Linked DNA regions of Rattus norvegicus. The protein of the gene in region 2 purifies or fractionates together with the protein of the main gene of each other region. This does not show direct contact. Links are inferred from orthologs where the notes say so. Each region holds a gene or a part of one and is shown on either strand. Other genes may lie near its edges.

Region 1 (4,282 bases), on a different chromosome or scaffold from region 2:
GCTAAGAAAGGCACACACCAGACATTAATGAAAAATAACAAGGCACACAACTAGCAGTGACAGTGTACACCTTTAGTCCCAGCACTCAGGAGGCCAAGGCAGGGGGATCTCTGAGTTTAAGGACAGCCTGGTCAACAGATTGAGTTCAAGGACAGCTAGGAAAAACAAAAAAGCAAAAACCTAAAATTTTATAATCCATGTGGGTCCAGTGTCTGATGTTTATGTGAGGCAATAGCAAATGGCTCACAGCGGGAGGGTAGAGGGACTAGATCTGATAAATTACTTGACCCTGTGCTCTATTGACATAGAAAATTACCAAAACACAAAAATAAGACACCAACTCTCATAAACTTCAGATTGTAAGGAAGATGTTTTAAATGATCAGAAAGCAAGGCTCATCCTTCTGGGATAAAACTAGAACTGAAAGGCAATTCCAAGGGCGCAAATCATTTCTTCAGTCATTTGTAAGAAAGGCTCCTTATTGGGGTTGAGGATTTAGCTCAGTGGTAGAGCGCTTGCCTAGCAAACACAAGGCCCTGGGTTCGGTCCCCAGCTCCGAAAAAAAAGAAAAAGGAAAAAAAAAAAAAGAAAAAAGAAAAAGAAAGGCTCCTTATTTTTTGTCCCACTGAGATTTTCATTACAGGGACAATTCCCTGACACTCTAAGAAGCTCGTGAACTCCTCCTAGGAGACCAGATGCTGTTGTTTCATGTACAGAAGGGCCACAGCTAAGGAAGCTGTTAGCTTACGTTTAGAAGGTATCTCAGAGAGCTAGCCAGTATGTACAACTGGAGATGCCTGTGACCCAATGGGAGAGATTACTGTTGAAGACCACTCCTGGAAAAGTCTTAAGGAATGAACCACTATCCTCTAACTAAAAACAGGTACAGAGGGGGACAAGACTATTTTAAAGCCACTGAAGAGTCCAATATACTATATTCAACTCCAGGTTTGATCTAACTCTAACCGCATTCTATACTTGAGTCATATGCCTCACTACTAGGCCACCATTCCTGTTATTCTATCAGAGCTTACCCCCTGCCTCACAGCATGCCACTCAGCACATTATCAGTAGGTTATGGGGACAGGAAGAATTGAGGTGGCCTTTACCAGATTATTCACCAGTGGACTAGTTCAAAATTCTGTACTTTTGATCTCAAGACCCCAAAGGACAACAAGAGTAGGCGACAAGAACTTCAAAATGATTTCAAGAAGTTTATAACTGATTTTGCCGTAGAGGAGGCCATAGCATCTGGCCAGAGCTGGAAGAAGTCAGAGCTACTGTACAGTTTAAACATAAGCCCGCCTTTCACAGCAAGGTGTCAATTTGGGAGTTAGCTCAAACACTGGGTATTACTCATAGAAGGTTTGATTAAGGATCGGTTTGCATCAGATCCAGCAACTAAATGCAAGTAACAAGTTTAGTAAGGTTTCTGCCTATCAGCTTTCTTTCCTTATACTGAGGGAGCAGAGGTATGAACTGTAAAGTCAAGGAACATGACCGGGAAACCTCAGGTCAAGTTATGTGTTGCTTTCCAATGGCTTTCTCCCATCCACGGCTCCTTCTCTTAAGAGAGTCTGGTATGTTATAAAACTACACCTGGCCTTTGAAAAGTCTTTAACCTATTAGATCCCGAATCCCAATAGTTCCAACAGAAGGGAACTTTCCTTCAATGGTTGGGTCATATAAAAGAATATAAAAACTAAGTTCAAAGGAGGTCCCCCCACCACATCCATTTCTTTTCAATAAAAATAAGTCCCGTAGGAGCATTAATTCAAGGTTTTGGGGTTGGTTGGTCAAATATGGAAACAATCTCCCATATTTCTGAAGAAGCCTAAGTTTAAGGAGCAGTGAAAATATTCCCTTGAACTTGGGGAATCTGAGGATCTGGAATTCCAAATCAGATAGGTTTCTTACATAAAGACCAAGGAGATTTTACCCTTTTTCTTTGTAAAAAAAAAAAAAAAAAAAGGCCTGCTGAAAGCCCACTAAACAGGAAATTAAAAGAAAACGTCAAATAGTTTCTTCTCTAACACTTTAAAAGGACATAATGGAAGGATGAGAACAAAGAATCTAAAACAAAGGAAAAACCGTTCCTGTACATAGAAATGCACAGTACTCAATAATTGCCAGTAAGTCTTTAAAAGAAAAATAAAACGGAAAGGATGGTCGGGAAAGTGATGCATCGTATGCATCGAACTGAGTTGATTTCTAGGAAAACAAGAGGTGTCTGAACAACTAGCCAGATTTAAAACTCTGATACGGAAACTTGTTTGATGGTGGCCGCCTTCTTAAGGGCCTTACCTCTCGCACTTCTCTAGCTCCCTTCCTTGATCCCACTAGAACCGAGTTGGAGAAGAAAACGGCAAAAGATCTTGTCTTGGTCTCAAATATCCAGATTGCGCGACATCGACAGCACCACGTCGAACTCCATTTCTGTCCTCTGCAGAACCCAGCCACTATCTATCTTTTCAAGTCTTCACCCACCCCATCCCCGCTAAGGCTCCACCTCCCCGGACCCTCTCGTTTCAGACGCGCCACCCTTCTTCTAGGACTTTCACGGCCGCCAGCGGCACCCCCACCCCCGTTTCCTAACCCACTCCTGACGCCCACCTCTCTCCTGGCTAAGGATCCCCAAATCCCTGCGGTCAGCGGACTGTGCGGCCGGCCCTGGTCCGAGCCATCCTCGTGACGGTCCCGCCTCACTCACCCTCTGTCACCTCCAGCACCTTAATCTGCTCCTCTGCAGCCGCCCGCACCTCCTGCACCGGGGACAGGATCCCGGTGAGGGTATCCACCAACGCCTCCTTCAATCCCTGTGCCACTGGACCCGGCAGCCCAGAAGCCGCACCAGCTGCCGCCGCCGCCGCCATCTTTCCTCCCCTCAGCCCGCCAGCCCCGCGGCCGGGACCCGCCACCGAATGACGGCTCCCGCTGACGGCCAATCCGCGAAGCCGCGCCTGCGCATCTAAGTAGGCGGGAGCGGGCGGGGGGCGGGGATAGGTCGCAGCCTCCCGAGACAGCGCCTTCTGCTGCCGGAACCGAACGGCGCTTTGCGGGCCAGCACGCTTCGGACGTATATGCACACAGAATTCCCATAACGGTTTGTAGTCCTGAAGTCGCACGCGCTGTTAGCAAACGCGCTTGGAATAAAGGCGTTTAACCTTTATTCCAACTGGGCAGCTCAGTAGAGCTGACCCCGATGGCAAGGGAGCCGGGTAAGGTACCCCCGAGGGCGTGGGCACAGAAGGCCCTGCCCCTTGTCTGCAATGGATTGTAGTGGGCACGGAAGAGATGCCTTTTCCCCCGCTCCCATCACCCCTTTCCTCCAGCGTTATTCTAGGCTCAGATTTAAGACGTGTTAGGACAGAGGTCCAGCTTTAAAGGAAGGGGGTCAGAATAGCATCTTCCTTAAACCAACACCCCTCCTCTCAATTAAAAACTGCAATGATTCAATTGGGTCCGTTCATACGTTTTAGCTTTAGAGATCCAAAGACGCTGAGGGAGAGGACAGGGAAAAGGGGACATGCAGAAAAACTTAAGTGAAATTGGCAATGGGGAGTGGTCACTTTAGAAAAAGCCAGTTTTCTAGCTTTTTAGCTTAGATGGACCCAATGTCAAAAAGTGGCTGTCTAGGAGAGAGTGCCTACATGTAAAGCAGCCTTTCTCTAGAATGATTTAAGAAAAAAAAAATCTACCTATTTGTCGTTATCTTGTTTTTGAGACAAGATCACATGTGGCTCAAACTGTCCTCAAACTTGCTCGGTAGCTGGCACTGACCTTGAATTCCCGGATTTTGATCTTCCTGTTTTCACCTGCCCCACTGCTGAGATTACAGGTGTATATATGTGCCACCACACACGGCTCTAGACTGATTCTCTATGTGACTACTCAGTGAATCCCGCAAATATATAACATTACTTAATTTTAAAAAAGTGTTGGGGGGGGGCTGGGGATTTAGCTCAGTGGTAGAGCGCTTACCTAGGAAGCACAAGGCCCTGGGTTCGGTCCCCAGCTCTGAAAAAAAGAACCAAAAAAAAAAAAAAAGTGTTGGGGGAGGCCAGAAGAAAGACAGTCAAGCACCTGTGGTGGGTGGCACTATGATGAATGAATGTGTGATGGGAAAGAGAGAGAATGTGGTGCAGATGGAGGAGAAACCAAGCTGAGGGGTTCATACACTGTAAAGAGAGGTAGAACTAGGCTCTACCTCTAAAGGCTGTGAGGAATAGGGGGATATGAGAAGGCCATGCTGAGGTCCTGGCCCCGGCTGCTTCCAAGGGCC
Region 2 (2,739 bases):
AGCTCTTAACTACTGAGCCTCTCTCCAGCCCTTATGTTAGTTCTGTCATCTCAGCAGTACCTATGACTTCCTAAATTCCAAGAAGGCTCATCTAGATCAGGTTAGCCTGTGGGTGTGTCTGTGGGTGACTGAACTGCCTTAACCAATTAGGAAGACAGCCAACCAGAAAATGAGTGGAGCTATCCACTAAACTCAGTAGTATGCATTTATTGCTTCTCTCTCTGCTCTTACTTGTGGCTTCAAGTTCCTGTTGATTTCCCCACAGTGATAGACTGCAATGTGGAATTTTGAGTTAAAATAAACACTTAATACCCTAAACTGCTTTTTGCAGTTACTTTATCACATCAACCAGAACAACCGTGCTTTCAAATATCACATCATTCAAACCATCAAAACTGGCTTCAAAGGTGAAGTTGTACAGCTGTTTTAGAACTTGTTATGCTGTTATACAGCAAGTTACAGAAGCAGTTCTGAATCAGAACTTAATTTCTGACAACAGCATTTAAAAGGCAAATACTACCAGAAATTAACTTCATTGATTTCTAGAAAATCCTTACGTTTAAAAACACTACTTTATTCCAATACTACCCATGTGTACAATTTGAAAACAGGCAGAATAGAAGTAAATGTTTTATTTTTCCAACTAAACTCCAGTGCTACAAGGGCAGTAAAACAATAATACACTGGGGGAGGGGTGCAGCAATAAACATTTGTTAAAAAGACTGATAGAATAAATAAAACTACCAAAAAATAATAAAGGAAATCATATAAACCCATTCTGAAACCCCAAGAAAAGTCCTGAAATACAGAAATGCCCTCCTCCTCCTCTTCCTCCATCTCACTGAAGTACTGTAGACTAACTGCTTAAATGTCCTGGGATTACATTCTAAGTTATTAATAACTGGTTACAGCTTGGTTGTAGTGCACAATTAAAATCACACTAACTTCATCTGACGTGTCATTCTACAGTTTTATTTACATAACCAGTGAAGGGCATGTTCTAGAATGCCAGCTTTAATCCCTTTCAAACATTAATATAAAGAAGCCAAATTGTAATGATACAGCAAAACGAGGCCACTGGTATTAATACAAGTAGCAAAGGTCCACATCCGGGTGGTAATGACATCACGGAAATTTCCAAAACCAATTGCTGCTGCCTAAGAGTGGTTGCCACTGACGAAAGCTTGAAGTAACCTGGTTCACAGATGGGCGCTGGCATTGCTGTATGTCACAGCTGGGACCTCCTGCAACAACTCAACAAGGAACAAGGCAGCCCACAAATGCAAAAAGCGTGATTCATGAAACATCTGGAGGAGAAAAGGAGTATTAGTATAGCTGATAGCGCAAAATTACAACAAACAAGATCATTCCTTCCTAACACTTTACTTTTGCTTTAAACTAACCTTTTCTCCACACTTTTTATATCAACTCTCTTCTTAAATATGAAAACATGGTCTTTTCTGTTTATAGTTCAAAGGTCAAATACTTACAACTAGCAGGCTGTTCTCCATATCGCCGCATTATCTGATCATGCGTAAACTTCACAAATGCATCGTATTGTTCTATAAGTAAAGGTATGTGTAAATTACATGACTTGCATGTACATATTAAATATCCTCTCTAATGTATCGGAAAATATAAAGGAACATGAAGACTCTTGACACCATAATCCTTTTCACAATCTGAATAGTAATTGTAAACAGTTCAAATAAGTGTTTTCCACATGATGCAAAATAAAAATTTAATACCGTAGCTGATCTACGTGGCTACCTCATACCTGGGACCATGAAGGTGAGATATGGGCTTTAAGAATGTTAATTCTCCTTTTTTACTGAAATTCTCTGGTCCACAGACAAGACTACCAATGTATAGAAAGATATGTCAATGTAAAAACACCTGTAGGAAATAATTCTTAGTGAGCTTCTAGGTGTGGTGATCTGAATAAGAATGGACTCCAGAGTTTCACATATTTGAATTCAAGTCACCAGGGAGTGGAATTCTGAGAGAATTAGATTATGAGGTGTGGTCTCATTGGCAGAAGTGCATCACTGGGGTAGGGGTAGGATGTGAAATTAGAATGTAGCTCTCAGGTATCGTGTTAGTACCTATCTGTATGCTGCCATGCTGTAACCCTCTAACACTGGAAGCAAGCTTCTAATTAAACGCTTTCTTTCCTAAGAGTGAGTTAGTTGCCTTCGTCATGGTGTCTCTTCACAGCAACAGAACAAACACTGGGATCTTCAAAAATAAACTCAGTTGTTACCTGCAAGTTTTGTGTTCAGTATTTCTTCATATTCTTCTCGAACCTTCTCTTCCCGTTCTTTCAACAAACGTTCACAGATCATCCCAACCTGCCTTAGAGTAAATAAGGGCTGTTCTTTTTTTAATGGTGAGGATGTTGCAGATGAAGTCCCTATGTACAACATGAATAAAAGATCACCTGATTTAGTACCACAGAATACCTCCTGAATGAAGGTCTCACTGAGAGAACTTCCCCATGTAACTTAAAATCTGTTATCTGGGACTGGAGAGATGGCTCAGAGGTTAAGAACACTGGTTGCTCTTCCAGAGGTCTTGAGTTCAATTCCCAGCAACCACATGGTGGCTCACAACCATCTGTAATGGGATCCAATGCCCTCTTCTGGTGTGTCTGAAGACAGCTGCAGTGTACTCATATACATAAAATAAAACAAATCTTTAACAAAAAAAAAAAATCTGTTATCTATGATAATTTGATCA

The links.
Region 1: the proteins of Akirin2 (region 2) and Ipo9 purify together in Homo sapiens (affinity purification with mass spectrometry; 3 studies listed by BioGRID and IntAct, counting the BioPlex papers as one, with this or other methods). This does not show direct contact. The link is inferred for Rattus norvegicus from reciprocal best matches to the Homo sapiens genes AKIRIN2 and IPO9.

The regions. Positions count from the first base shown.
Region 1 is NC_086031.1:49,411,557-49,415,838, forward strand, and holds the start of Ipo9 (importin-9), read right to left. Parts: upstream 2,922-4,282; 5' UTR 2,874-2,921; coding exon 2,711-2,873; intron 2,403-2,710; exon of another isoform or gene 2,305-2,402; intron 1-2,304. UniProt on the Homo sapiens protein: Nuclear transport receptor that mediates nuclear import of proteins, such as histones, proteasome and actin. Serves as receptor for nuclear localization signals (NLS) in cargo substrates.
Region 2 is NC_086023.1:53,916,752-53,919,490, reverse strand, and holds the end of Akirin2 (akirin-2), read right to left. Parts: intron 2,414-2,739; coding exon 2,264-2,413; intron 1,563-2,263; coding exon 1,491-1,562; coding exon of another isoform or gene 1,465-1,490; exon of another isoform or gene 1,308-1,464; coding exon 1,297-1,307; 3' UTR 621-1,296; downstream 1-620. UniProt on the Homo sapiens protein: Molecular adapter that acts as a bridge between a variety of multiprotein complexes, and which is involved in embryonic development, immunity, myogenesis and brain development.